Linked DNA regions of Rattus norvegicus. The protein of the gene in region 1 interacts with the protein of each later gene in a biochemical or structural test. Links are inferred from orthologs where the notes say so. Each region holds a gene or a part of one and is shown in the gene's direction. Other genes may lie near its edges.

Region 1 (15,821 bases):
GCTGCCAGCTAATCTCACCACCTCTCGCTCCTCCACGTGGTGTTGCTTGCTGCTGACCGGGCTGAAGCAGGGGCTCCTCATGATCTCACCTAAGCCCAGACATCTCTTACCTTAACTCCCAAAGAGCCTAGACCAGTAATCCTCAAATCAGCGTGCACACTCCAAGTTAAGTGGCTTCTCCTCTCCAATTTCTGTAATGATCAAAATTTCAGCCTTTTTCTTTTGGGGTGGGGGGCTGACCTCGTTCATACCAGAGACCTATCTGAAAATACTGAAACTTTTCTTCTATGTTTTCACCCACCTCTCACCATTTCCTAGATGCCTGATTCATAACTGACAATGTATATTACAAGGATTTTTCTCCTGTCGGGAAACTAGGCAATGTCCACCCCGAGCCCTCGCTAAGGTTCCAATGACAAGGAGTTTGATCCTATTTATTGGACTTACAAACTGATCGTGGATGGGTAGTTACCAAGCTGCACTGGAAGTTTCTACCCAGTGGAGATAATGGCTCCCCACTAGCCACACGGATGGAGGCCCCTACCTTAGAATTCCCCAGCACATACACTTTAGGCCCTCACCAGGCAACATGTAATTAGGGTAAAATTACATACAAGTAGGTGGAGAGTGCCTGGATACGGGACACTAGGCTAGAGTTCCACGACCCTCCCCACTCCCTCCATCTGTGAAGGGATGTCCAGTTGTGATTGAAGATCTTGTGCAAGCAGGCACAGCTGAAGCATGGAGATGGCTGCTGGTGTGCTCTGAGGTTAGTACTATACAAGAGCATACGATTTATACATAAGTAAATTACGATTTTAACGTTTTAACCAAATCTCGTTTAGTTACTGCAGTGGTGGTGGTGTGTGGTCTATATGTACATATCACAGCACACCTGTCAGGGGTCAACTCTGAGGGGCCAAATCTTGCTTTCCACCTTTAGATGGTTTGGGGAACAAACTCAGGTTGTCAGGCCTTCACGGCAAGTGCCATTACCCGTGAGCCATCTTGCTGATCCTAATTCATAGTTTTTGGATGTATAGGACCGTGAGTTCTTTTGGTGATGTTGGGACTCAAAGCCAAGTGACCTGGGTTTTGACAAGTATGTACGGTTATATACCTAGCCGTCATTACAATGAAGATACAGGCTATTTCCCTCAAACCAAAGACATGCATCCTTTGCGTCTCTTTTCAGACGATCCCTTCCTCCCACTCCTCATGCCTAGCAGTCTCTAAAGGCCATATCCTTTACGTGTATTTTTGTACTTTTCCCCAGAGGCCTTGTCTGTATTCTCAGAATTTTCTAACTGAATGGTAATCTCCTTAAAGACAAAGAGTTGTAGTCATTCAATTTTATATTGTTTAAGCATATATTTCAAGTACAGCTGGGTGGGCATGGTAGGGCATGCTAGAAATCACAGAACACGGAGCTCAGGGGAGTTCGAAGCTATCCTCGACTACACAGTGAATTTGAGGCCAGCCTGAGTTCCATGAGAACCTATCTCAAAATAGCAAAGCACACCTACCCTTCCTTCTCTCCCCAAACCCAGATCAAGGTCTACATACATTTATTATGTACCGGGTCATATACACCTGAAAAAGAGTGGAAACAAGAGAGAAAAGGGAGAGAGGAAAGGGGGGACAGCCAGAAGGGCTGGAGAGGATCAGCAGGTGAAGGTGCTTGCTGCCAGGACTGGTGTTCCGAGCTAAATCTCAGAAGCCGTCTGTTGAGACAGTGAAGCCCTGAGACTTGGTCTCGGCCCTTCTCACATGTGTGCCCTGACAGGTACCTCCGTACACCCACACATTTCTGTCCTCGTGTGTGCCCTGACATGTACACCCCCCACCCCTGTATACCCACACAGGTAAATAAATAAATGATAAATAAATGTGAATGAGGAGGAGGAGGCGGCTCTGGAGAGATAGCTCAGGGGTTAACAGTAATCGCTGCTCTTGCAGATGATGAGAATTCTATCCAAGGACCCTCTGTAACTTTAGCTCCAGGGGATGCAATGCTGTCTTCTGGTCTCCCCTGGGTGCCAGCACACATGTGTGAATACCTACACACAGACACATACACACATATATAAATATAAATCTTTTTTCCTTTTTCCCTTTTAAAGGCAGAGCTACCTAGGAGGGCCTTTCTGCTGTCTCTGTCATGCTGAGACTCAAAGCCAAGCTTCACTCGTGTTGTGTCTGTGCTCAGCTGCAGATCAGACCTCCACCCTCCAGAAAGGCTCTCCCTCAACCTCAGGGCAGTCAGAAGAGCGTGTAGTGTTTCAGTGAATCATTCTGAGATTGTAGGCAAATTCTGTCTTTGAGTGAGTTTCACATGAGCTTAGGTTAGAACTCACTGTGTGGCTCAGACTCTCCTCAGATTCCCACCCATGCACCTGTCTCAGCCTTTCCAGTGCTAGGGTTGCAAACGAGAGCCACCAGTGTTTGGATTGCTTTGAGTTTTTTTTTTTTTTTTTTTTTTTTTTTTTTGGTTCTTTTTTTCCCGGAGCTGGGGACCGAACCCAGGGCCTTGCCCTTCCTAGGCAAGCGCTCTACCACTGAGCTAAATCCCCAACCCCTGCTTTGAGTTTTTAATCTGAACTATTGGCCAAAGGGTAAACATGAAATATAATAAGTTCGCACCAGCAAAATTCGTTACCTACCGGTAACGTTTGGGGGTTGGGGAGATGGCTTGGTGGGTAAAGTGTTGCATATGCACTTTACCGGAGGACCCTTCGTCCCATGTGAAAGCCGGTGATACACATCTTATGCACTTGTGCTGGAGCATAGATGGAAGGATCCAGGAGCTCAATGGCCAACTGGAGATCGAGCTCCAGGTTCAGTGAGAGACCTGGTCTCAGAAAGCAAGGTGGAGAGTGGCAGAGGAAGGAAGGCATGTGCGGTTGACCTTTAGCCTTTATACAGGGACACATGGTCACACGTAATGCTGGCAGACACATATATATGCCTACATAAGAAATGGGGGGAGGAGAGGGAGAGAGGGAGGAAGAAAGAGATTATTTTAAGATACATCTAAGAGTTGGGAGTAGTGGCACAGGAACTTGATCCCAACACTTGGAAGGCAGAAACAGCTGGAGCTCTGTGAGTTCAAGGCCAGTGTGGTCAGGGAGCAGGACAGCCAGAGCCACACAGTGAGATCCTGTCTGGGAAGGCAGGAAGTATACTATTATTATTGTTATTGTTATTGTTATTATTATTATTATTTCTTTTTTTGAATGTTTTACCTGTATGAATGTATGTATGTATGTACACCACCTAGAGGCCAGGAAAAGTGCTTTACTATAAAACTAGTGTTATAGATGGTTGTGAGCCACCATGTGGTTGCTGGGATTTGAACTCAGGACCTCCGGAAGAGGAGTCAGTGCTCTTGACCACTGAGCCATCTCTCCAGCCCAAGGAACCTTAATATCAATAACACCTATGTTGCAGTAGGATATAGGAAGCTGGCACTCACTAATCCACAGCCATGATGGCTTGGGGGGTTACTAGAAGATGATTTGTTGGGAAGTTAAATAGTTAATGAAAGAAAGTTGAGCAAATTTACCTCTGAGGAGGCAGACAGATAAAAAAAATGGAGTTTTGGTGGTAGCCTCTCTGTATGGTGGTAGTGCACTCTGTAGTGCTTTCTTTCTGAGAGTCTGCTTTCCTTAACCTTCATGCTTAAGCCTATATTAAAGATTTATTTATTTCATGTATGTGGGTACACTGTCGCTGACTTCAGAAGAGGGCATCAGATCCCATTACAGATGGTTGTGAGCCACCATGTGGTTGCTGGGATTTGAACTCAGGACCTCTGGAAGAGCAGTCAGTGCTCTTAACCACTGAGCCATCTCTCCAGCCCTTAAGCCTATATTAAAATACCGCCACTAAAACCCCAGCTTGGGTTGGAGAGATGGCTCATCTGGTGAGGACATTTTTTGTTCTTGTTGAGGACCCATGCTCAGTTCCCAGCATCTATCACACTGTAACTCAAGATTCAGAGTATCAAATGCCCTATTCTGGCTTTTGAGGCCAAGAGGCACATGCATGGAACACATACATACATACATACATACATACATACATACATACATGCAGGCAGGCAAGACATTCATATACATAAAATTAAAATTAAATGATAGATTTGGGGGTGGGTATTGAGACAGAAGTTCACTGTGTAGCTCTGTCCTAGAACTTACTATGTAGAACAGGCTGGCCTCAAACTCACAGAGAAGCACCTGTCTCTGCCTCCCAAGGGCAGGAATGAAAGGCATTGCTTCACTCTGTCTGGCTTAAATGATAAATCACAGAAAAAAAAAAACAACAATAACAACAAGATCTTTGCTTGAAAAATTGAGTTTGGGGACACTTCGGAGTTTTTATTCTGTGAAATGATAGGAGGACATATCTAAACATGTGTGGTGCTTCATTCATCCGTCTAGGGTTATTTCAGAAGTTAACACAGAAAAGAGCCATATAGGATGGGCATGATGGCCCCAGCACTCAGGAGGCAGAGGCTAGTGAACCTCTGAGTTTGAGGCTGGCCTGGTCTATAGAGGGAGTTCCAGGACAGCCAGGGCTACACAGAGAAACCCTGTCTCAAAATACCAAAAACCACAACGATAACAAAAAAAACCAAAACCCCCAAAACCTATCTATGTATGGTCTGATGAGGCTGTCAAGTCACATGGAGGAAGTCCAGAGGGATGTGTAAAATATACTGAGTATATGGTTAGAGATGAGAACAGCCTCTTTTGCTTATTTTTGTGTCACTGAAATTCAGAAATTAAAAGTAAATCCGCAGTTGGAGATAATATTCTTGCTTAGAACAAGTTGGAAGATAAACTTTGGACAGTGTATTATATTATGCCCTTTGGAATAAATAACCCAAGATAATGTGTTAAAGTTTAGTGGAGATTTAAATTCCTGAGCTGATTAAAGTTAAGGTCTGAAAAATGTATTAATATTAGTTCTGGAGTCCAGAATGAGTTTCCTGGCTTAAAAAGACACTTATTATTACCCAATGTTACAGACGGACACAGAATTTAACTAATAAAAAACAAACAGCAGCAGCACCAACAGCAAAACAAACAAACAACCCCCAAAACTTAACAAACCAACCCAACCCCAAAAACCAATTCAACTTTAAGGCCTCAAGTAGAAAGACTAGGTTAAGGTTCATTTTAGCCTGAGTCTCAAAAGCACAATGCAGAGCCTTCAAAGGTTGGGAGGTCTAGATGGAGGAGCAGTTTCAGACAGGTAAATCTGATTGCGTGTGCAAATGGACGGGGGCAGAAGAGAGACTGGAGCAGGGTCCATTTGCAGCTATTTCAACATCAAGTTGCTAGAGTAAAACGGTAAAAACAAAAAAAAAAAATCAGAAAAGGAGTCGGGTGAGTGTGAAAGCCCAAGGCTACACAGGCCACCTGACTTTCCTTTTGTCCTTAGAGCAGCCCCAGACTCTGATGGGGTTGGCCACTGCGTTCTTGCCAGAGCAGAACTCGTCAAGTTGTCCCCACCCCGCCTCATTCGCGTCCCAGCGTTCCTGGGAGCCCCCTCCCCCTCGGCTGCGGCACCTCCCTCCGCCCGGTTCCTTCCTCCTCCCCCTCCCCGTGGGGCACTGACTCGCCCTGCTGCCACGTCTCACTGATGACATCAACACAGTCCGCTCGACCTTAGCCAATCCGCTAGGGGGAGTCCGAGCGAAGTCCTAGCCAGCAGGCCAGCGGGGAGGGGAGCAGGAAGGGCGGGGTGTGGGGGTGAGGGAATCGGGACGGGGCGGGCGACAAGCTCGCAAGGGCGCATGCGTAGAGGACGTGGGGCCTAGTGGGAAGCCGAGTGCAGGCTGCCCTCGGCCTCGTCAGGCTGCCCAGCGCGCGGAGTGCTCACGACTCTCTTTCCCAGCGTGCCCCGCGACGCTGCCGCCCTCTGGGCCGCGACAGGCCCCTTGGCCTAGGCTTCCCCAGTTCCTGGTTCGCCGGCGGCCATTTTGGGTGGAAGCGATCACTGAGTGGCGGCGGCTGCTGATTGTGTTCTAAGGGTCGGAGTGGGGTCGACGTTTGCTCTACCGGAACAGCTTAGCTCATTCCTCCCCTTCCTTTACCCGTGGCGCGGAGGCTTGGGGCGGCGGCTGCGTCAGCAAGGGCGGTGGCGGCGGCGGCAGCTGCAGTGACATGTCCAGCATGAATCCCGAATAGTGAGTGCAGGAGAGCCGGGGCGGGCCGGGGTGAGGGCGTCCAGCTGGGGTGAGGGCCGCCTGGAGGCTCGCTGCGCAGCACTCGGAAGGTCGACCAGGCGAACGAGACGGAGCAGCCCGAGGGCCCCATTGTCTGATGGCCGAGGGCCGCAGCGGGGAGGGGTCGGGCCTCCGGGCCGGGTCCGGGGCGCAGCCGGCGGGGAGCTAGGTGCCGCGGCCGGGCGTTGGGGAGTGGGCCTCGGACAGCGGCCAGGAAGGGCGCGTCCCTGGAGGCAGTGACGGCTGGAGGAGGACTTGTTTTTAAGGGGAGGTAGGTGGGAGAGTTCTGCTAGAGGGCACTGTCAGACCCTGCGCCGGCTCTGCGGAGCTGTCAGCGTCGACAGGGAGGAAACCAGCTTTACTTGTAAATCCTGAGCTTGTTAGAGCTCTCTCACGGTTGGATTTCTGGTAATATGGATGCTTCTTGGGACTGCGTGGGCTTGAGGGGAATGAGGAGATGGCGAGAAGCTATTTACAATGTTTAGTTTCCTTTAGGGCTTGTCTCCTGGAAGAGTTGTGTAAGAATTGTGAGATGTGACCCTTCTAAAATCCTGAACATTTGTGAAATTTTTGTTTTAGGGGGACACATGAGTCTCTCAGTCACCTTTTGTTTCCGGTAGGTTAACAACATCAACAAAACTGAACTAAAAATAAACTAGAAACGTCTTCCTGGCACCACCAAATTAAAGTACAAGTTTGCAGACAATTTTGAAAAGAAACTAATGGGGCCTTTGATGATAGAACTGTAGGTTTTAGATTACCTGGTTGAATGCCTGTAGATAGGGAATGAGGTTCCATGACGTGTCATGAAAAGTTAATGCATTCCTTTTTCTTGCTTACTCAAGAAGTCACTCTAGCAGATGTGACACACCTGGCACCTTCATGGGAACTGCTCTTGTCTTTTCTTGGATAGATATTGTTGGGCTCTCTCTTTGACCCTAAAATTCTCCTCTGGCTTCCATATATGAAAATAACTCGAAGAGATGTCATTTTTATTATACTTTAGTGTCAGAAATCTTTAAGGGAGAGGGATTTTTTTGTTTGTTTGTTTTGTTTTTTTTTTTTAATAAGAGAAATCAATACTGCCCTAAAACCTGGGCTTATTTGTTGCTTTGGTCAGTCCCCGCTAAGTGTGTCCCCAGGAAAGGTCCATCCATCAGCTCAGCTGACTTGTCATGTGTGTGTCACATGGCTCTTGCAAAAGACATTCTAAGTTCAAGTTTTCTAAGGCTGGTTTAATACTGAAATGTGCTTTTTCATTTGGGTTAAGCAGAAGTCTTGGTATCTTGGTAGAACTTTACATACTTTATTTTTATTGTGACACATGTGATTGCAGGTGCACAGGTGCCACTTTGTTTGCGGCAGAGGTCGGGACAGATTTTGGGAGCTTGTTCTTTCTCCCTTTGTGGGTGGCTTCAGGGAACTGAACTCAGATAAGCACTTTATCCACAGAGCTCTGTGGTTGACCCAGGCTTTTGTATTTCTTTAAGAAGTTGGGAACAGTTCATATGGTGACACACTTACTGTGGTGGCAGCCCCTCTCCCAGCACAAAATCAGTTTAGGGAATGAGGTTCCATGACATGTCATGAAAAGTTATTGGGATTCCTAGTTAGATTTTAGGGAAACAGAGAAGAACATGGATTTGTTAGGAAGGTTTCTAATTTCTATTTGAGAAGATTCCTATATTTGTTACATATGTATTTAAATATTTTTATTCTTCTCAAATTTCCTAATGCTATGACCCTTCAATACAATTCATGTTGGGGTGACCCCTACCCATGGCATTTTCATGTCTATTTCATAACGGTAATATTGCTATCGTTATGAATCATAATGTAAATATCTGATAACGCAGGATATCTGGTATGTGACTCCTGTGAAAGGGTCCTTTGACCCCCATCAAAGGAGTTGCCACTCACAGGTTGAGGACTGCTGGGTTAGAGACATCCCCTGGCACTGGAGTTAGAGTACTTGTGACCAGCTGATGTGGGTGCTGGGAATGGAGTTAGAGTTTTCTCCAAGAAGAGAAATATTCTTCACTACTAAGCGATCTCTCCAGCCCTTGTTATATGTATCTTTTAAAAAGATTTATTTATTTATTTTATGTACCGCATTCTTATATTTTTAAATACTGTAAGAGATTTAACTATAAATGACCAAAGTTAGATGTTACTTAGACTATTTCTCTTTTTATAAAGTAGTACAAGAGACAGTCATTTTTACTACCTATTAAGGTAGTAGTGTGTCCATGAGTATGTAAAAAGGACAGCTATCCAGATCATGTTGTAAACAGTATAAATCATTTTAAAGCAAGCTAGGACTTAGGAGTGTAAACCTTAACCTCAAGGGGCCTGTAACATAACATAACATACAAAATAGGTTCTATACATGTCAGATACTAGGAGATAGAGCATGCAGATGTGCAGCATGGGTCAGGACAGTGTGACTTTAGGGCAGAGTCACTTGTTCTGGTTGGCTGTTGGGTTTTGGAAGACTGTTCTAGAAGAGACATGTAAGGTAGTTCAGCAGAGGAAGCCATCTGCCACCTTTATGAGTTCCATCCTTGGGACCTATATGGTGGAAGGAGAGAACTGGCACCTGCAGGTTGTTCTTTTCATGTGTGTCCCTCCCCCAATAATCTAAACAAATAATTTTAGAGAGCAAAACGTGCTCTCTAAAAAAGGAGAGTTATTAGCACAGAAGTGAGGCAGGGGAGATTTTTCTGGAGGAAATGGAAGAGGAATGGCTAATAAATAGCAAGGCTAATAACTCTTTTTGTGTTTTGTGATGTCGTCCTGGCTCTCCTGAAACACCCTTTGTAAATGAGGCTGACTTTGTATTTGCAGCAGTCTTCCTGTTTCTGCCTCCCAAGTGCTGACATTACAGATAGGAGTCACCGTGCCCTGAATGGACAGTGCTTTAGTCATTCTTCCTGAGTTCTCAAGCATGCCAGTATCTGGCTTATATTTGCATTCTAGACTGTGTAGTAAATTGACCAGGAGTTTGAGGAAAGGATTTATGAAACTTGCTCAAGATTAGAGGTGATGATAGATATTTTATTACTATTTTAAGTGCAAGCATATATTAACTAAGAGTAATGTCTGAGGCACTTGCATTTAACTGACAGTGTGATGTGAACTGTGTGGTAAAGTATATGGAAAGGGCCAAAACTTTTTTTTTTTTTTTCTGGAGATCTGGAAGACAGCTTTGACATTTTACACTTATTGTATGTTTGGAGAGGGGGCACGTGACTGCTACAGTGAATGGGTGGAGGTCAGAGGGCAGCTTGCAGGATCAGTTCTCTCTGGCTACTATGCAGGTTCTGGGGTGGTAACTGTCTTTAGTCATGGCTATAGGCACTGAGATATGCTGCTGGCCCAAGATTTGATTTTCAGAGCTAGGGAGTGAAGCAGGCAGTGATTATTCCAACACACTGATTGAAGATGCTAAACAGAGCCAGGAGTGGAGGAGCCTGTGCTCTGAGCACTTGAGGCAGGGCAGGAGGCTCACTGAAGGTTCAAGACCACCCCAGTCTATATTAGAGAATTCTAGACTGTCAACGGTGACATAGGGATTTTGTCTCAAAAGAGAGATAGACAGATATAAATACAGACTTGATACTAATTAACCTCATACAAGAAGTAGTTGTCATAATCTATTAGCTTCTAGGGAAGTTTTATTTATTTTTTATCATGAGACAAATTATCAAGGATCCCAACCTGGCCTCAAGCTCACTTTATACCTGAGGATGACCTTCAGCTTCTGATCTTCTGTCTCTGCCTGCTGAGTGCTGAGATTTGAATCTATAGCTTTGCGTGTTAAAGCTATCCAGCATCCTACAGCTGAGCTCTAACACAGACCTTAAGCTTTGTGTGTGCATGTGTGTTCTCATGTATGTATGAGTGTTGTATGTATGAGCATGTATGAGTGTTGGGTGTATGTGTACGAATGCCTGCATGCATTTGGTGGTCAAAGGCCAACCTTGGGTTTCATTCCTTAGGAGCTTTCCATTTAATTTTTACCTTTTATTATTTTCATTTTGTGTTTTTGAGTGTTTCCCCCTTATTGTGTACATGCAGTGTCCAAGAGGTCAGAAGAGGCAGTCATCTGAATTACAGATTGTTTGGGCTTGCATGTGGTTGCTGGGAACCACACTAGGATCTTCTGGAAGGACAACCAGTGTTCTTAACCAGTGAGCCACTTGTCCAGCCCCTGTTTATTTATTTTCTTGAGACAAGGTTTCTCACTGGGATATGGGGTTCACAGAAATGGCTAGGTTGGCCAGCCAGCTAGCGTCAGGGATCTTCCTTTGTCTACTTCCCTGGTGCTGAGATGATAACAGGTATGGGACACCACACCAGTTTTGTTTTGTTTTGTTTTTTAAATGAAGTGGATGCTTTCTAACTCTGGTCCCCATGCTTGTCAGACACACAAGCATCTCCTAAGCCACCAAAGTTTAAAGAATTTTTAATAGAGCCAGGTGGTGGCGCAAGACTTTAATCCCAGTGCTTGAAAAATTTATATTTATTACTCTGTGTGTGTGTGTGTGTGTGTAAGACAGTCTGTGAGAGTAAGTTCATGTGGGCCCTAAGGATTGAGCTGAAGTCTCATGATTGTTTATTAGTTAAGGTGACAAAGTAGCACGGCACGGTGGCTCATCATATGATTCCAGTACTTGGGAGGTTGAAGCAGGAGGATTGCCTGAGGTTTGAGGCCAGGCTGGCCTACATAGTGAATTTTTTTTTTTTTTTTTTTTTTGGTTCTTTTTTTTTCGGAGCTGGGGACCGAACCCAGGGCCTTGCGCTTCCTAGGTAAGCGCTCTACCACTGAGCTAAATCCCCAGCCCCCATAGTGAATTTAAAAAGCTAAACCAAACCAAACCTCACTGTGTAGATGGGAATGACTGAATACCCATTTCCCAGATGCTCTGATTAAAAGTGAGCAACCTTCTCTGGGGTTGGGCAGAGCAGTTTAATGACAGTGATCTTTTCTTCCTATTCCTCCTTCACTTTAAAATGAGACTCCAGATTTCCTGAAAATGTTAGCAGTCTTTTACACTTTTATGCTTTTCTGAAATAGAGCTGTTTCAATTAAGTGCCTTTCCCTTTTAAGTGTTTGATAATAAAATTGGACTAATCAGTTATCTGTCTGACAGTGTATTAATATCATTCCTGGCTTTCATGTAGTTTTCACTGCTTTTTACTGTTTTGTTTGTGAGTGTGTATGTGGCTGGTAGTCAAATCCAGTACTTGCACATGCCAGGCAGATGGCCCCTGTCATTCTCTCCTCCTCCTTGTAGAACAATTGGAAGAAAGGTGATTTGGGTCCTTACTGTGAGGAATGTGATTTTAGTGTCCGAAGCATCATGTCTGTGGTTGTCAGGTAGACAGGCAGCTTTTGGAACCTTTACTAAATGTTCAGGCTGCAAATCTCAGTACCCAGGAGAGTCAGGAGTTTAAAGCCAGTCTTGATTCCAGGGCAGCTTGGCCTACAGATTTGTCTCAGAGAAAAGTCGGAAAGGACAGAAAACCAAAACCTGAGTGCCATTATGTGAGCTATTTTAGATGTGACTTACTTTTTATTACCCTGTCTGAATTTCACATTGGAGTGTCTTAGTAAGAGACATTGGTAAATTGCTCCCTCTGCCTTTTAAAGAGAAAGGAGTGGTCTGCCTGTTGTTTTCCTGTAGAAGTTGGGGCTGAAATTGCTGCTTTGGTACTATAATATGATTAATTTTTTTTAAAAATTGATATTTATGTTTATGGGTGTTTTTCCTTCTTATTTGTCTGCACCTAATGGATGCCTGGTGTCAGAAGAGCTAGAAAAGGGACTTGAATTCCCTGGAATTGGAATTATGGGAATTGAACCTGGATCCTCTGGAACATTCTGCATCTAGTGCTCTTAAATGCTGGGCTATCTCTTCAGCACCCCTAGAATATAATTTAAAGGAAAAAACCCTGCTTTTTGTTGCCAACATTGATTGAATTTATGGTCTCCAAATGCATCCCCCCAACCCTAAAATTTTTAAATTTAAGCCAGATAACATTTAGATAAACATCTACTTTAAAATTCATGGAAAATTTTTTATCACACACACACACACACACACACACACTTTTAAAAAGCCTTATTTTTATTTCATGTGTATTGGTACATGCATGTCTGTAGGAAGGTGTCATCTGCCGAAGCTGGAGTTAGAGGTGGTGGTGACTTCCTGTGGGTGCTGTGACTTGAACTGAGCCCTCTGTGAGAGTGCAGGCAGTGAGGCATGCCCAGCCCGACACACGTGCTTTCAGACTGGGGGCTTTACTAGACCGTTTTCCATGCTAGGCATATACTCTGCCACTGAACTTTTCTCTTTTGTATTTCAACACTTGGTCAAAAGGGGAGTTCAGGTTGGCCTTGAACTCGCTCTGTAGCTGGGTAGGCCTTGAACTTGTGATACTCCTGTTTTAGCTTTCCAGTTAACTTGAGATTAAATGCCTGCCACCAGACTCCAACAGAGAGATTTAAAAACAGAGAGAGGCTGTTTTGAGTAGGGACTAATGACATGTTCCTGTACTCCTAGAGTAGGCAGGGGAACCTTGGGAGTCTTAGGTACACAGTTCTGACAAGAGGGTTTGTGAAGTTTACATGGTGGTCCATGCCTGTAATTGTAGGCTACTGAGAAGGCTAAGGTAGAATTGTAAATTCCAGTTCTAAACTTAAAATGCAGAGATGGCCGCAGTCATGGAATACGACATCTATAGTTGGGTCTAGGTGGCCTTTGATCTCTTAAATACTGTGTCTGTCTTGCTTTTCTCTTTCTTGTCTATTGCATGTTTTTTATTGGGACCTTAGAAGTTGTGAAGTCTTTCTGAGAGTGAAAAGCCATGGAAGCCATTAGCATTTTTGAACTCCTGGAGCAGCTATGAGTACTTATGTAAGACCTTCCCAAGATTGAACCATTGGCTTCCTGTCATGGATCAGCAAGGGCTTCTCCCTCCCAACACAGCCTTCCCTGAGAGTCTTCCGGAGCTGTTTGCTGGGGGAAGGAGATTCATTTTCCTCAGTGGTGTAGCCACTGACGAGGTGCCTGTGCTCCTGTAAACAACACTAATGAAGTTCATTGCCACCCCCACCTCCAATGGAAGTAGAGGGAGTATTAGTTGAAGAGGATCAGTGACCCTTAGAAGTAGGACAAGAGAGGGAGGGCCATGTGAGTATGACCAAGATAGATATGCAATGCCATACTAAAATGCATAATGTATAATTAACAGATGCTAATTAGTATTTTTGAAAAAGTCAATCTCAGTTCCAAAGACTTAGTGTCAAAATTGTTCACCGGTTCATGTAAAGAAAAGGGCTGGTTTGGCTAGATTGGCTGGCAAGAAGCCACAGCGATCCTTCAGTCTCCCCAGTGTTGGGATTACAAGTGTGCTGTGCTGTGCTGTGCTGCGCTGCGCTGTTTGTTTTCCCTTTTTTTTTTTTTTTTTTTTGTTACTTTATGTAGCCCTTACCATTCTGAAGCTTGCTTTGTAGATCACCAGGCTGACCTCAAATTCAAAGCCTCCCAAGTGCTGGGATTAAAGGCGTGAGCCTCTACTGCCCGGCTGTTTTTTATTTTTATTTTTTAATTGAGGTTTTTAAATTTCTGACTCATCACTGTTTCCATGAATGTTCTTTTTCTGGCCTAGGGTTTGATCCAGATTACTCTGGATTGCTCTCTTTATATTAGTTACCTTTGTTCTCCGATGTCCCTCCTTTTTCATTGATTGTCTCGGCACTTGTAGGGCTTTTGTCTTTTTGAGACAGGATCTTGCTTATGTAGCTAGCCGTTGTTGGCCTGAAGCAGACTGAAGACTTGTAGGAGAGCATTCTTTTGCTGTCTCCAGAGTACTAAGGTTATAGGCATGTGCTACTCTGCTTGGCTTAATGATGTTGACATTCATTAATTCTTTGTTTCTCTTCCTTCCTTCCTTCCTTCCTTTCTTTCTTCCTTTCTTTTTTTTTTTTTTTTTTTTGGAGACAGGGCTTCTCTGCATAGCTCTGGTTGTCCTGGAGTTCATTCTGTAGACCAGGCTGGCCTTGAACTCACAGAGATGCTCCTGCCTTTGCTTTCTGAACCACTATTGCTGAGACAGGTTCCTTTTTACAGTTTATTTTTTATTTTTCTGTTCTTTATGTGGATGGGTGTGTTACCTGTATACACATCTGTATTGTGTGTGGCTGGTGCCCAGGGAGGCCAGGAAAGTTAGATCCCCTGGAAGTAGTTATTGGTGGTTGTGAGTTGCAATGTAGGTACTGGGAATTGAACTCAGGTCCTCTGGTACAGCCGCCAGTGCTCTTAAGCACTAAGCCATCTCTCCAGCCCCATAAGTTTATCTTTTTAGTTTATCTGTGTATATGTATATCTGTATAGGACTGTTTGAATGATAATGGAAGGTGCTTGTGGAAGACTGAGGCATGGGATCCCCCCGGAGCTGGAGTTACAGATGGTTATGAGCCAAATTCAAATCCTCTGATAGAGCAGTATGTTCTATTAATGCCTGAACCATTTCTCTAGCCCCAAGATAGCTTTCTTCTCCGGGCTGGCCTTAACCTCACAATTTAGCTGAGTGAGCCCTTGAGTTTATGGGCCGCCTTTATCTTCTACAGGCTAGGATTACAGTATGGGAATGGGTCTTCAGGCTGGGTTTATGTTGTCCTGGTGGTTAAACCCAGGGCTTCATGCATGCTAAGCAGGCATTCTTCCTACTGAGCTGTCCTCAGCCCTGAGTCTGGATATCTTTGAAGTGTGCCTAGACTGCCTCTCACTTTACATTTGCGTGTTGCTTTAGTTTTCTTTTTCAAGGATTCATTTGCATTTATTTTATGTGTTTGGTTTTCACCTTCATATATGTATATGCACCACAAGTGTTCCTGATGTCAGCACAGTCCAGAAGAGAGTGTCGAATTCCCTAGAAGTGGAGTTAGAGATTCTCATGAGCTGCCATACAGGTTCTGGGAACAGAGCCTTAGTCTTCTGCAGCAGTCACTGCTGGGCCACCTTCCAGCCACACCCACTCCCCCTTTCTGACGTAGGGTCTTACTGTGTAGTCCTTTCTGACCTGGAGCTGACTAGGTTGCCTTTATTTTATATTGATCCTTGTCTCTGCCTCTCAAGTGTAATGAGTTCATCTGGTTAATTTATAACTGGTTAAGGTGATAGATTTTGGGAAAATGCTACAGAAATCAGTGCTTTTTCTATTCATTGCACTGTATCAGAAATCTTATGACAACCAGTATGGGATTTGACTTTTCATTCTGGTGATGCTATTACTGGAACATTGTTGTAATATCTGTACAGCATTGTAAATGACTTAAGTTTGGAGAACCGCTAGTGCCCTTGAACACTAGTGTCCTTCAAAAGTGTCTTCCCCCTTTGTCTGTTTTATTAGATACTGACCAGATTTGCTCCGTCTCCCAGGGAAGAAGGATTTAAAGCAGTTACTGGATAGAGTTGCTAAAATCAGCAATGCAATGCTAGGTGTGGTGCCAGGCTGTAAAACCAGCTCTTAGTCAGGGTGGGTGATCAAGAGGTTTTGGGCAGCCTTTGCTTCCTGT
Region 2 (15,821 bases), on another chromosome or scaffold:
GGAGGGCTGCCTCAGGAAGTACTGGGCTAGAGGAAAAGGGAGAGTGAACAAACTCTAGGCTCTGTGCCTGGCTCTCTCCTAGGGTGGGAAACTTGGCTGAGAGGAGCAGAAGCCCCATCAAGGATTCAAAACCATGGTGAGAGTTGGGAGAATCAATTGTAGCAAGAGGTAAAACAAGCTGACTGGAGGGAAATTAAAGCTTTGTTGAGCACTTTATGGAGAGCTCAGCCAAGATCTGGAGAATATCCAGAAAGATCTGAAATCCTCTGACTCTTGGCTTGGGAAGGTGACTCCTCTCTACTTCCCATTGTCTTCACAAGCAAAGTGGACTGCATTTTATTACAGTTCTAGTGAGCCGGGTAACACAGAGACACAGAGGGCCTCCCATGTGGCCACTATGCTCTACTGAGTCTCAGGTGGGCCAGTGGCTGACAGTGTCTGCAGTAGAAGCCCTTAATGCTATTTAATCCAACTCTTTGTATTACAGATAAATACAAAAGGCTTCCTTGCATCTAGCTAAGTATGTCAGGGACAGAGGAGGAACTCAGTGTCTTGGGTTTTAAACTAAACTGCCTTTCTCCGATGACCTAATCAACAAATCCAGATGGACTTCTCCGTAACCATTCATCTTACCTTTTTGTTTGTTTGTTTGTTTTTTCGGAGCTGGGGACCAAACCCAGGGCCTTGCGCTTGCTAGGCAAGCGCTCTACCACTGAGCTAAATCCCCAACTCCCCATCTTACCTTCTTTGGGGATAAACAGGCCTGCTCTTTCTTCCTTTTTCTGGGCTGTGGTCTGTTCAACCAGTTTATTGAAGTCAACCAAGGACGCTTTGAAGTTGTTGATCTGCAGTGCAAGGTTGAACCGCTTCTCATCCCTGGCATCCATACAGATATAAGGGGTCTCTTATTTCTGCACGGAGGAGGAAATAATACTGCAAATTTGCTAATGCGGAAAAGCTTCTAGTTCTTATAACATGTCTCTGCCATCTCAACGTTTGCCCTAGGTCTCATTCCTCTGGTTTTTTTTTATCCCCGTCTGATAGGAACAAGGAGTAAGAGCTGTTCCTAGGAGGGTTAGCAGGAGGAAAGCTGAGGCCTGCTGCATTTCATAGAGGCAGGGGTGATAGTGAAGGGTCCTGACCTCACAATGTCAGCATTGGCCATCATGTGGACTTCACTAGGTCACAGTATCTGTGTAAGTCCCTGAGCAGATTGGGATCCACCTCCTGCAGGGTGTGTGTGTGTGTGTGTGTGTGTGTGTGTGTGTGTGTGTGTGTGTGCATCCATTGAGAAAATGGAAGGATAAAGGAAGGAAACTAGGTTTTACTTTCCTTGGAATGAATGTCTCTTCTCCCTCCCAGTCTCCTGTCTTCTTCATGGTACTACAGAGAGTTACGTTCACATTTTCCCATAGCTCTCCTGGATAGGGAAATTTGAACCTGTGAGGATGAAAGTGTATTTCATCACCTGTCTTCCTTGGCACCAATAACTATTTTTAGAAGTTGTGGGGAATAAAAACGTTTCTTTTTCCTCTTTATGCATTTACCTTGAGCTAAAAAAACGAAAAGGAGCCAAGGATAAGGAAGGTGTCCTTGTGAGGAGAGCTTTTCAAGAGGAACCAGTTGAAGAAGAAGAGGCCTTTCTGTTTGTCTCTTCCATTAATGCTAGCATCTAGCACCACTGAGTCCAAATGCTTACTTCTGATTTAAGTTGTGTGTGTGTGTGTGTGTGTGTGTGTGTGTGTGTGTGTGCATTCTAGTGCATGCTGCTGTAAAAGTTTGCTGCTATGTGTGCACAAGGCACAAGGAGGCCTGAGGATGAAATTGCACATTTTCATAATCGTTCCGTACCTTCACTTTTGATGTCAGATCTCTCTGAATCCTGAGGCTGTATTGACTATATTTGGTGGCCAACAAGCCCTCTCCACATTTCCAGCTCCAGTATTCCAGGTGTCTAGCCCACAGTGCCTATCTTCTAACATGGGTACTGGGAATTGAACTCAGGACTTCCGTAGGAGCAGTCAATGCTCTTAACCACTGAGCCATCTCTCCAGCCCCAGTGCCTATCGTCTAACATGGGTGCTGGGGATCTCAATTCAGGTCCTTACATTCGTGCAGCAAACACTTCATCAACTGAGGTATGTCTCCAGCCCCCAACCCCTCTCCTACATCCCAGTGTTTTAGAAAAGTCTATTCTGTCTGTCTACTAACAGTCAATTTATGAAAACGTGAGAAAGATGGAGTCCCTTTTCCTTGGTAGTGTATCTTTTCAATCATCTTGAGCAATCCTGAGTTCAGAATTGAAGCAAATGGCATTAGGGGGCACGTCTGTGGTGAGCACCGGGTGTCCGTCCTTTGACTCATCTCTGACCGTGAGGTTTTAGGGGAGTAAATTTCTATAAACATGCTACATGGAGAATCTCTTCACTCTATTTATTCTTTCTTTCTTTTCTCTTTTATAGCTTTCCAAATACTACTTGGCAGCTTCTGGGAACTATCTTTCCTCCAATCCTCATCCATTCATTCGGCATTTATCAGACACCTCCTTATGCCAGCAGGTATGTAGGTAGTAGTGATACAGGAGTGAGCAGATAGTGTGAAATTATTGCTTACTGTATTAGATGTTGTATCTTCTGCAGCATTGGTCTTAGTCCATTCCTGTTGCTCCAATAAAACATGTCACGCCGAGTAATTTGCAAGCAGATACTGATTTCTCACAGTTCTGAAGATTGGCAACAGTGTAAGGTCCCGGCAGTCAGGAGCTGGCAAAGGCCCGTTCCTCCTACGGGAACTTTCTATACACTCTTACGTGGCGGGAGGATGTCGTGGAAAAACACTGTGACCAACAGCAACTTGGGAAAGAAAGAGTTTAGTTTATCTTACACTTCCACATCACAGTCCATCAGTGAAGGAAGCCAGGACAGGAACTCAGTGCAGGAATCTGCGGGCAGGAACTGAAGGAGAATCCAGGGGGGAACACTGCTTACTGGCTTACTAGTTGTATTTTTCTAAGCCTGCTGTCTTCTACAACCTAGCTGGACTGGACGCTCACACATCACCATTAATCAAAAACCTGCTCTCACGGCTTTTCTACAGGCCAGTCTAGTGGAAGCATTTTCTCAACTGATGTTCTTTGTTTCCCCCAAAAACCTTGTGCCAGGTTGGCAAAACAACAACAACAACAACAACAACAAAAAAAAAAAAAGAAAGAAAGAAAGAAAGAAAGAAAGAAAGAAAGAAAGAAAGAAAGGAAGGAAGAAAGAAAACCAACCAAACAACAACTAACCGAGGCAGGGTAGCAGGTTGCTTTACGTCACCATGGCCAAACCCAGCTCCAGGAAGAAGCCAGCGAAGAAATCTCCTGGGAAGAATGTGTGTTAGCACCCGATGCCTGTAGCAGGGCTTGGATTCTTGATGTTACACAGGCCTGAATGGCCAGCCACTGCTTGGCTTGTCTGGGTCACTTTGGAGATGATCTATTGGGGAATACTGCCATGTCCAAAGATTCCACAAGCTCCTGTAACAGTGCCACCAGACAGGGACCAAGTACTGAAGCACACAACCCCATGGGGAATCACTCCCATAAATATCTAATTCTGAAATGTATAAGGAACATTTTTTATTAGCAAAGAAAAACATAATATGTGGTATCTTGCTTATTTCTATCAACTCTGCTAAAGGACTTTAACAATTCACAGGACCATTATAATAACTGTTATCAATTATCAAAATGTTAACTCTTTCCCTCCCAGGCTCTTAACTCCTTCCATTCAGTGCTCTTGTGTAGGCAATGTTCTGGACCTTTTAGGTGGATACGATAGAGGCCACCACTGCTCCCCTACCTCTCTATCCTCATCTCCTGTTATTCTGCTGTACTGGCTCCCTTGTGTCCCTCCGAAGGGGCAAGTAGAGCCCCACCCTGGCACATAGGTCTTGTTTAGAGCGCTCAATGCAGACCTGAATAACAGCACATTTATTTTCTCTTCCTGCTATTTTCTCTGTCTTATAATTATTTATGGCACTTGGCATCTGACGTCTTCTATATGAACCAATTTGATTATTATTGTCTTCTATCCCAACACCTCTAGAAAGTGAGCTTGAGGAAAAAAAGACTGTGCCAAAGAATGAATACTTTAGAAAAAAATATCAGAAGTCTTTCCTTGCTTCCGTCCTCCCTCCCTCCCTCCCTCCCTCCCTTCCTTTCTATCTTCCTTTCTTCCTTCCACTAACATTGCAATCTTACTGTAGTAACACTACTATACTGAGAACTCAGTGAGACAAAGAACTTGCTAAATGCTCGTAGAAGTCTAAAACAGAAAATTAGAAACGTTTTTCAGGGCAGGTGAGTTCAAAGTTCTTGTAGATGCTGAGTTCAGGTTAGAAGTTTTAAAAATAAGACAAAGATTTTCGAGGACGGCACACATTGCCTCTTGGTTGAATGTTCAGTGCAGCAGGGTATCAAACTATCTCAGCTGATTATTGAAGAACTTGGAGATGCGCTGAATCTAACACAGTGGGAGGGGCGAACACTCAATTCAGTTTCCACAAATCAGTCATTAGCGCCTATGACAGCTTCAGGTGCGTGGAGCTCGGGACATTTTTCTCTTGTGGGTAGTCGTTGGGGACTGCAGTGGAGACAGGGAAAGCAGGCCTAAAGAAGTGGTGCTCACAATCTATATTTGACTTGTACTATATTTGCATTGCTGCTGGGGAAAGGTCCAGTGGAAAATGTGTGCTGTTCTAAATATATCCTCTCTATACCGGCTAGATTTGGACTGAAGCCTTGGGGGCACTGCTCAAGAGATCACCTCCAAGGAAGCTCTTGGACAGGATTGTGTATCAGGATACTCCTACTGCAGACTGAGAAGGCTTGGGATCCAATGGGAGGGTGACTTGGGTGTCACTCTGATGCTATTTTCTTCCTTTTTCTGGGGCTCTGAGAGGGGCACCTCAGCATACTGTCACAAACTCTGGGACATATCATCTTCCAGCTCTAGAGTAGTTGAGTCTCAGCCTGCTGCTTTTGTTTGTTTGTTTGTTTTGACCTCAGTTTCCCTGTTTGTAAGATCGTTTCGCTGCCTCGGGCATTTCATTGTTTTGTTTTCTTTCTGTTGGGTGTATGAGGTGGGGGTGGGTGTTGTTATAGCTTCACAGGAAAAAGTATTTCATTCAGCATGCTCAACTGAATTAAGCGCAGGCGTTTATAAATATTTATGAATGAATGTATGCTAGGATGATTGACTTAACAGGTGAATGGATGAGATGCTTTCAAGCTGGTTGAGGGGAAATGAGCAGTGAGGACCCGCTGTGGCTTATTTAGCTCGGTAAAGGAGTTTACTTTCTTTTTTTTCCCCTGTACGGTCTCTTCCCGCTTCCACTATGGCTTAAGGGTTAAGGAAGAGGAACAAGAGCTGACTAGACTCCAAAACTTGCCTCTGCAGGTTACAGAATGCGCCTGGGAGGTGGGAAGGGGTGGAAGAGGCGGGCCCCAACTAGGAGGCGGAGTCAGAGGTTCTCAGAGGGCGGGGCCGTACCCTCGAGGGCGGGGCCAAGAGTGTGAGTCGGGGGGCGGAGTAACGGGAGATTCCGGGAGGGAGGAGCCGCAGGCGAGACTGCGGAAGAGCCTTAAGGGGGCGGGGCCAAACGGCTGTTGTTGGGTGGGGCCGCAAGATTGAAGGGCGTGGCGTCGATGGAGGTCCAGTGTAGTGCTTGCTAGTGGGGCGCGGGACTCACGCGGGAGGGCGGGATCTCAAGAACGCTAGGGGGCGGAGCTTCGTGCGGTGGGCGGGGTCCTAGCACTGAAGGGCGGGGTCTCGGGTGCGCGCGGGCTGGGCGGGCCTGGCGCTGCTCCGAGGCACAATGGCCTGAGCTGCAGCCTGAGCGTGAGCTCCACCCGGTTCGCTGCGTGGCGGGCAGCCGGGCGCACGGAGCCCTCTCCCTCACGGCGCGTCGGCGTCGGGCCATGTACTCGGGGAACCGTAGCGGCGGCCAGGGCTACTGGGAGGACGGGGCGGGCGCCGAGGGCGCAGCACCGGCCGGCACGCGGAGCCCCGCGCCTCTCTTCAGCCCCACCGCGTACGAGCGCCTGGCGCTGCTGCTCGGTTGCCTCGCGCTGCTGGGCGTCGGCGGCAACCTGCTGGTGCTGCTTCTCTACTCCAAGTTCCCGCGACTGCGCACGCCCACCCACCTCTTCCTGGTCAACCTCAGTCTGGGCGATCTGCTGGTATCCCTGTTCGGAGTCACCTTCACCTTCGCGTCGTGCCTGCGGAACGGCTGGGTGTGGGACGCCGTGGGCTGCGCGTGGGACGGGTTTAGCGGCAGCCTCTTTGGTGAGTCGCCCGGGACGGGTTCTCCTCGCCTCTCAACTTTCCCTGGGTACCTCAGCTCTGGGCTTCCGTCCTTCCCGGGATCGTCCCTGATAGCCAGTCATCACCCACAACTCCCTGTCTCTCCTCCTCGAGAACCTCCCTTCATCCGTAACCCTCTTCTCTCTTCTCCCAGGAATTCTCCCTTCCACCAGGTCTTCCTCCCCAACTCTCTTTCTCTTCCGCCCCCTCCCTCGGGTCTACACAGCCTTCCTCCCAGCCAGTCATCAACCTCGGCTCCCCATCCCTCTGCAGCACTTAACAAAGTCTCCCTGCTGCCGATCACCTTATGTCCTCTCATCTGTTTTTACTTCCTACTGTAGCTCAACAGGGCATCTCACAGTGGGGGAAAGAAACCAGGGCCTGTAGAGTCCAGAGATGCAAGAAAAAAGTCAACTCTTGAAGAGTGGAGGCGGGGACAAGGAAAGATTTAATTAATAAATGAAGTATTTGTTTCTTAAAGTGACACGTAGAATCCTAAATAACGCAGCATTTTTACCCCCTTTCACTCGTTAGCAATTCTAAACGGTTGAATGCTTCCTAGGGAGTGAGACTGTATTATACTTTTTTTTAATTGTATTCCCTCCACATAGGTTCTGTCACACCAGAGGTTACAAAGGGCTCAAAGAATTCCAACTCACTCTTGCGAATAAATAATTAGCAGGGCAGCCAGTACGTTTAATTAAAGTAGAACTTGTTGATTTCTTGAAGATTTATATTGAGAATTGACAGGTTGAAGGTTGACTAACCCAGGATTCTAAACCTGAGAAAAACGTGTGTGTGTGTGTGTGAGAGAGAGAGAGAGAGAGAGAGAGAGAGAGAGAGAGAGAGAGAGGAGAGAGAAGAGAGAGAGTCTGTGTGTATCTGTCCTAAGGATTTTGTTTGTACAACGACTTACAATAGAAATGGATATTACTTAAGGCTTAAAGTCCCTTTTTACAAACCTTAAAACACATTGATAATTTACTATTACCTTGATCTTGGCAGGTCTTAGAGAAAATCATCTATGTCATATCCCGGAGATGTATGACAAACCCAAATCTCAGAGTATTTGTCATGATTCCCTTTTTAAAGTTTTAAAATAAAATTTAGGAGTTACGGTGGTTTTTTTTTTCCCCCACTACTTGACAATTCTGATACTTTCTTATTCTCTCCCCCCTAATAAACATTCATCTAAGGACTTCCTTTATATAACAGTATTGAACCCTGAGAAAGGTCCGTAAGAGGATATGAGTGGTACATAGGTTGTCTATGTGATTATTCTGTTACCTAAAAATGTTCGTTGGGAGGGTTTTTTAGGCAGATTAATCTTTAAACAAGGTGATGTGTCAGGAGCCTAGCTTGCAGAACCCCTTGGGCGGGCGACAGGTGTTTGAAGACATTAAAGTCCTTTTTTTCTGTGAAGTACTTTTCTGTGCTGTGGTGTTCAGTGTCTCCATCTGGGGCTGAGAAAACAAGACTGGGTTGAGTTTTTCTTATGTCTGCAGCACCCTGTCTCTCTCTGGCTTGCTCTGCCAAGCTTATCTTCCAGAATCCTCTCTGTCCTTTCTTCCCCTTCTGAATTCCTGCTGGGGTCTGTCAGCATCAGAAGAGATTTCTTTAAAGACTACAAGAAACATCCACCCCGGGTGTTTTACTGGACAGTTCCTTTATTCAGGGCATCTATTAGGACTTTGAATCATGGCCTTTATTCCCATCCTAAAACCCGATGTAGGTCTTGTGGGATTAGAGGATTGGAAATAAGTTACTTCTTGGAGACAAGTCTAGAGTGAGATTGCTGCAGATCTTAACAGCATAATTAGCAAATGATTTCTTTTCCCAGAATATGCTTCTTGAGTAGGGAAAAGGATGGAGGTAGAGAAGACTCTTCCCTTTTCTGCTCCTCAGCCAGGACTAATCAATTCTGAGTACTGAAGGAGAGGACATGTTTAACTGCTGGACGTTCCTAGCTGCTTGCTCCAGGCTTTGGTGAGACTGGTGGCACAAGGGTAGGCCTATGGCTATCCCATTGTCTAGGCCTTCCCAGTCTCTTACCGGCTGCTGGTTCTCCTACCGTTGTAATCTACTATTGAGCTTTCTGCGGTTAAAGTCCTCTCTCCCACTTGCTTTGTATTTTTGAAGGCTACAGTGACATCTGTAGGTTAGAACGTACCTACACTTGGTGCTTATAACCCCCTCCCCTCTTACTGCCACCCTTCAGCCTTGTTCTGTGCCTGGAGGAAGTGCATATACATGCTTATACTCTAGACAGCCTCATAGGTTTTCTCTCCCTCTTTATAGTCTGCTAGAAGCACGAGTAAGTAATTCACATATTCTCGTATATATGTGCAGGAGGAGACCAGGGAATTGCTTCATTCTGGGCTCTGGTCTTAGCATCTCAAAGAAGGCTAAAAATAAGTAGAATCCCTGATAATCTTGGTCAGAGGTTTCTACCAGCTGGGCTTGTTAGGGTCACGGTTTCAGTTAAACTGATCCAGCCAGCCAGTGACCTAGTAAAGTTCATTTAAATCCCTATTGAATGGCTTATTTTACAGTTACCAGAATAACCATTCTCTTACTTGTACCTGCATCTAGATAGCAGATTTAATGGTAGTGTACAGTAGAGGGGCCAAAGAACAATTATTGCTACTGTGTATGATGAGCAATCCAAAGACCGGCAGTGGGGTGTATAAATGTGCTAGCCTGCAGAATTCCAGGTGAGTATGTCCAAAGGGAACAGCCGCCAGCCACACCTAGCATTGCATGGACTATAGCCAGCCGTGCGATGGAAGGGAACAGAAGAATCTTTTCTCATTATTTCTTTAGAAATGAAAATAACACGCTTAGAAAGATATTCGTGGTTGCAGAGATCGTGTGGCAAAATGCAAATAGTTCCTTATTTAGATATTATTTATGTTACTGTGTTTTAAATAGGTAACCAAGAACTTTCTTTTTTAACTTATACTTTGATACTGAAAACATTATAAAACTGTTTCCCCTTAGGCTTGCTCTTTTATATACTTAGGTATTTTAAAGTGCCAGTTATTGAATTAATTCTTTTGTAATGTCTGAATATCTTAGTGTATCATGTAATGTCTGAATATCTTAGTGTCTACTGCAAGATCCGTAGGGTAGTTAAGGATATATAAATCTTCTCTAAGGCTCTTCTGGGATTACCTACTGACCTTCCTGGCCACAGTAATCTTCCCCATTATGTTGACATGATCATAGCACATCGTGTGTTTCCATTAGCACAGTAAAGCCACCATAGTCCTTTAGCGTAAGCTCATGGTATTGTCCAAATATTTTATTAAAATCAATAATTGTATAACACTATTTTTTAATTTATTTGGATATCGTGTCTATGCCTCATAACAATATTGCCTGACTTTAGGGGAGGGTATATAAAATACCTTCTTTTTGCTAGAAGAACTGTCGGAAACCATTTAATGAATTGCTTTGGGTAGAGGTTTGTATCCACATTAACAAGTCAGACTCCAGTGGATTGGAATTGCTGTTGCATGAAATTGCTTCTATATTATTTACAACTGTGTTCTTTTCTTGAATTTTCTTCTTTCAGAGAAGAGTTCCAGTCACAAATGCATATGTGATGCATGGTAACATTTCCCGCTAAGGTGAAATGCAGAAATGAAAAGGACACATCCGTATGAGTATTCTCAGATATGATTACATGCACTTTATCGTGTTTTCCATGCTACTGACTTTTTTTTTTAATGTTTAAAAATTATAAGAGTTAAAAGCTTAGGACTTACAGACTCGATGTTTCTGAATGAATATCACAAATAAAGATTTTATTACAGCATCAATACCTCAGAAGAGCCCTCAACCTAGATCCGTACTGTGTTCTCTCATCAGCTGTGGCCTGAAGCTTCAGCTCCTAGGATGGCGGACAAACTTCCCACAGAGTTTGATGTGGTTATAATAGGGACTGGTTTGCCTGAGTCCATCCTGGCAGCTGCATGTTCAAGAAGTGGACAGAGAGTTCTGCACGTTGACTCAAGGAGTTACTATGGAGGGAATTGGGCGAGTTTCAGCTTTACAGGTTTGCTGTCGTGGCTGAAGGACTATCAACAGAACCATGACAGCGAGGGAGACGTGACTGGCACATGGCAAGACCTGATCGATGAAACCGAAGAAGCCATCGCTCTTTGCAAGAAGGACGAAACTATTCAGCACACGGAAGTCTTCTGTTATGCTAGTCAAGATGTGGAAGATAGCATGCAAGAGACCGACCCTCTGCAGAAAAGTCCCTCCCCAGAGGCATCTGCTACTCCGGCGGACTCTCTGGATACTGCAAGCTTGCCCAAAGAAAGGCACTCAGAAGACTGTACAAGCTACGAGGCGCCTTCTAGACGTACAGAGGGAAGTGATGGAGCAGTTTCACTCTCCTCCGCTGATGCACAGGACTCACTGGAGAAAGAAAAGTTCTGTGGAGATGAAACCGGGATGCACACAGTTTCAGATGGAGAAGAAGGTGAACACAAACTTGCTGCAGAAGACAACGTAGGACAACCAAAGAGAAATACGATTACTTACTCGCAGATGGTCAAGGAGAGCCGGACATTCAACATTGACTTGGTATCAAAGCTGCTGTATTCTCAAGGCTCACTGATCGATCTTCTAATCAAATCAAACGTTAGTCGTTATGCAGAGTTTAAGAATGTTACTAGGATCCTTGCATTTCGGGAAGGGAAGGTAGAACAGGTGCCTTGCTCCAGAGCAGATGTGTTTAACAGTAAAGAGCTCACTATGGTTGAGAAGAGAATGCTAATGAAGTTTCTCACGTTCTGTTTAGACTACGAGCAACATTCAGATGAATACCAAGATTTCAAACAATGTTCATTTTCTGACTACTTAAAAACTAAAAAGCTAACGCCTAACCTCCAACACTTCATACTCCACTCAATTGCAATGTCGTCAGACTCATCCTGCACTACATTAGATGGCCTTCAAGCAACAAAGAACTTCCTTCGGTGTCTTGGACGGTTTGGCAACACTCCCTTTATATTCCCTTTATACGGCCAAGGAGAAATTCCCCAGTGTTTCTGCAGGATGTGCGCAGTTTTTGGTGGAGTCTATTGCCTTCGCCATAAGGTACAATGTCTTGTAGTTGACAGAGACTCTGGAAGATGTAAAGGAATCATAGATGGCTTTGGGCAGAGAATAAGTGCCAACTATTTTATCGTGGAGGACAGTTACCTTTCTAAGGAAATGTGTTCAAACATTCAGTATAAGCAGATCTCAAGGGCAGTGCTTATCACAGATCAGTCCATCCTGAAGACTGATTCAGACCAGCAGATTTCCATTTTGGTAGTGCCTCCTCTGGAGCCGGGAACTGCTTCGGTTCGGGTCATGGAATTATGTTCCTCAACCATGACATGCATGAAGGACAGCTATCTGGTCCACTTGACCTGTTTCTCTTCAAAAACAGCCCGAGAAGACTTGGAACCCGTGGTGAAGCAGTTATTCATCCCTTTTGCAGAAGCAGAAGCAGACAAAGAGGAACTCAGAAAACCAAGACTTTTGTGGGCCCTTTATTTTAATATGAGAGATTCCTCAGGGGTGAGCCGAAGCTCATACTGTAGCTTACCTTCCAATGTATACATCTGCTCTGGTCCTGACTGTGGACTGGGGAATGAGCATGCAGTCAAGCAAGCGGAAACACTGTTCCAGGAGATCTTTCCCAGTGAAGAGTTCTGCCCTCCTCCACCAAACCCTGAAGACATTATCTTTGAAGCGGAGGGTTAGCAACCAGACACTCCTGGATAGCAATACACTTACCACTAAGCTAGATACCCCAAGGACAGCAAGAACTTTTAAAACCTAGAGCACCTTCAAAAACAAAAGAAAACACTGGCAATGCCTCAAAACATTGTCGCATGAAGGATACCCACCACCAGAGTGAGCCACAACTGTGTAAGAAGCACTGTTCACGTGTCTTCAGAACTGAGATTGTCATGTTACTGTTAACCTTTCAACAACTGAGTTGTTGGTGAATTGGCTCTTTTGTTTCAGAATTGGCTACAGCAATTCAGAATCTTTGAAGGCCGTTCACTTTTATTTTACTTCTGGGTCCCTCGTTAGCACCTCTGCTGACCTTTAGGTAATATCTCGCTTGCTCCTGTGTTTAGGTTTTATCTTTTTTTTTTTTTACACTAAATTACTGTCCAAGGACTATTTTAGCTACTCCCGCAGCTACTACTGTTGCTACCACCTCAGATACGTAGAGGGACACGTAAGTCATAGACTGGGAGAGTTTCTTGATTACAGGAACACATGGAGATGGTAGTAGGAGTAGCAGCTAATTCAGATGCCATGTGGTAAGACACAACTGTCAGAAGCTTAGCTGTGCGTGCCACTGTGTCGTGGGTTTAACACTTACATGTGAACTCACCTGCTTGACCATTGGAACTCAGGAGGCAGTAAGACTTCCCTAGCCTTCTACCTTCTAAGAAGTGTACCGCTTAGTAGTCTAAGAAGCTCATATTTAAGATACATCCCAATCTGGGCATGGTGGCCCACTCATGTAATCCTGTCATTCAGACTGCTGAGACAGGAGGATCACCGTAACCTAGGCCAGTCCGGGCTCCAGTGAGCTGGGAAGGAGCACAGCATGCTAATAGACCACAGTGTGCTCTGAGTATACTCTTACTCCTCCTTAGTGAGGAAAGCAAGAAAAGATTCACATGACTGACAGCATGCTCAGAGTAGACAGCCGCTGATTGGTCTCAGTGTTTGTTTTTTAGTAAAGCAATAATATTGGGTAAATCTTAAGGTTTTAATTAATTAATTAATTAATTAATATTGGGTAGATCTTAAGGTTTAAATCTAGCAGAACAACTGAAATGCCTAAAATGTCCTAAAACAGCAATTAACAACAATTCTGAGAGAGGCCGATTGGAAGTGAGAGTAATTCAGACCCACTTTATAAAGTTTGTCAGAACCACAGTCTGCTCCAGAGACATTTAGAAGGCATAACTGCAAAGGGTAGACAGACATTTCAAAAGACAGAACTGAATGTAATGGAAATGGAACTAAAGATTAGACTTGGCCAAAGCACTGTTTGTTTGTTTGTTTGTTTGTTTTTAACTAAGGAAGCAAATATATTACTTTAAGTCATCACAAAATAATAAGTTGGAAGTGAGACAAACAAGTGAAAAGTATTTAAAACTATTGTGGATATTGTCTAATTTTCTAACAAGTTAGAATGTAGAATTGTAGTTTTTAGATGTTTAAGAAATAAATCATAAATGCTGCTTTTCATCAGTTCTATTTTGACTCAATGAGGGCTTCATTCTAAAAGTCAAACAAAGCCCCTCCTTCCGGGTAGGCGGGAGCTGCAGAGTTCAGTGTTGGCAAAGAGCTAACAGCAAACAGAAACTATACTTACAGTGACTCAGGATCCGAGGGCTTGTGTCCAGTAGAGTAGCCACGCATCTGGAGGAGCAGAACAAGTGGTAAGAGCCCTTACTAACTGCACTAACCAGAAACTTGCTCACATTTGCTTTAGTTATGTTTGCTCATGGTTTTGTAGGCTGTTCATAATACGACGAGCAACAATGTAAAACTTAAATTTATATTTGGAAAGCATGTAGGAACCATTTCTCAAGCAGAAACAAGGCCTTGTTACTATTTCTATCTGAATATGGCTGAAAGAATTGTTACTGGAATAAAAATGCAAAGTAAAGATGCACAAAGAAACCAGTGCTGATATATTACATTTCCATGGCTTTTTAATGTATAGCATCATAGAAATATACTACACACAAAAGATATTTCACAAGTAACAAGATACATAGCTTTTTTTAAACTCGAGATTCCAACAGTGATGGAATTTTAAAAAGCACATATGTGTGTATATATATATATATATATATATATATATATATATATATATATATGTAGCTATATTAGAATACTTTAAGAAACACACTAAAATAGAAGGTTTAATGAAGGAGCTAAATTTAAAATATGAGTATGGGAATGAGAGCTGTTTTGGCTCAAAGGAAATGCTATAAACACAGGGAAACCTTACACAATTCACTACTAGTTGTCTGATCTCTAGGCAATCACTTTTAGCTTCCATTTACCATCTATCAAGTGGAAATACTACCTAACAGAATTATTGTGAAGACCAAGTTGGATAATGCATAAGAACTCATATCTAAGGTAATGCTAGCATGTGACATTTTATGTAAATGGTATTTATTATAATGTCATTTGTTACGCCAAGCGTATGCTCTATGTAATTTGAGAGAATTGTTATAAATTATCTAGGAAAATAAGCTGGGAAAGCCACCTTCAACTTGAGAGGGAAAATACAGAGCTTTGCCCTTCAAGTCCTTAAGGCATGATATTGAACAACCAATCTAAACACTCTGTGGTGCTGAGTTCAAGAAGGTTAAGATAGTCAGCTCTCTGGAGGGAAGCTTTTAGACACTACCCAGAGGAAGCCCACATCAGTATGGAGATAAGTATTAGGCTTCCTTTTCATCAGGTAATGCCGTTTATTTGTAAATGAAACTGTTAAGCATAAAGTAAGAAGACTACGATTTTTACCCCAGTAATGGTGCCCAGGCATGTTCGGGCAGTAAACATTGACAGTGGAATAAAAAAGCTGTCTCTATTATGTGGGTGTTTTTTATTTTTATTTAAGTTTAGTTGTTTGAGACAGGGTTTCTCTGTGCAGCCCTGGCTGCCCTGGAACTTGCTCTGTAGACCAGGCTGGCCTCAAACTCAGAGGCTGCCTGCCTCCGCCTCCCAAGTGCTGGGGGATTCAAGACTTGTATGCGCCTGACTTGTTTTTCTTTCTTTCTTTTTTTTTTTTTTCTTTTCTTTTTTTTTCTTCAGAGCTGGGGACCGAACCCAGGGCCTTGCGCTCGCTAGGCAAGCGCTCTACCGCTGAGCTAAATCCCCAACCCCCTGCCTGACTTGTTTTTATTATTATTTTTTTAAGTAGGTGCACATTCTTCAGGCTTCCTACTCTTCTTGTGCACAGTATAAAGTGATAGGTTGAAAATGAGAAAAAAAAGGAGTAAAACGAATTTCTTTGATCCTCAAATTGATTCTCATTAAAATAGAGATTGAAGCAATGTTGACTGGGTTCCTACTATTTTTAAATCTGCACGAGTCTTCATACAGTAGCATCATGTATTCATGGTCATTTTGAAGAACTACTTAGATTAACCTGACCTCTATAATGGATATTTTTGACATCACTTTGAGTAGTACATGCCCAGGAAAATACTCAGAATGAACAAGTGAATAAATAAAGCTCCTTCTAAACATATGTCCTAGCAATTCCATTTATATGTTTTTTTTAAAGCCTGCTGACTAAGAATTGGATAAGGTTTGCTATATTGCTAGTGCTGTTGTGAGCTTATAGAGTTAAGTGGCATATGTCAGATTGTATGTAAACATGTCTGAGGACCAAAAAGATGTCAGTTTACACCAGAA

What was found.
Region 2: the proteins of Rab1a (region 1) and Chml form a complex in vitro, tested with the Homo sapiens proteins (2 studies listed by BioGRID). The link is inferred for Rattus norvegicus from reciprocal best matches to the Homo sapiens genes RAB1A and CHML.

What each region holds. Positions count from the first base shown.
Region 1 is NC_086032.1:98,617,681-98,633,501, forward strand, and holds the start of Rab1a (ras-related protein Rab-1A), read left to right. Parts: upstream 1-5,996; 5' UTR 5,997-6,173; coding exon 6,174-6,196; intron 6,197-15,821. UniProt on the Homo sapiens protein: The small GTPases Rab are key regulators of intracellular membrane trafficking, from the formation of transport vesicles to their fusion with membranes.
Region 2 is NC_086031.1:90,142,133-90,157,953, reverse strand, and holds the start of Chml (rab proteins geranylgeranyltransferase component A 2), read left to right. Parts: upstream 1-5,856; 5' UTR 5,857-5,962; coding exon of another isoform or gene 5,963-6,329; intron 6,330-9,924; 5' UTR 9,925-10,247; coding exon 10,248-12,113; 3' UTR 12,114-15,821. Other genes in the region: Wdr64 (WD repeat-containing protein 64), read right to left, coding at 743-887; Opn3 (opsin-3), read left to right, coding at 5,963-6,329. UniProt on the Homo sapiens protein: Substrate-binding subunit (component A) of the Rab geranylgeranyltransferase (GGTase) complex. Binds unprenylated Rab proteins and presents the substrate peptide to the catalytic component B.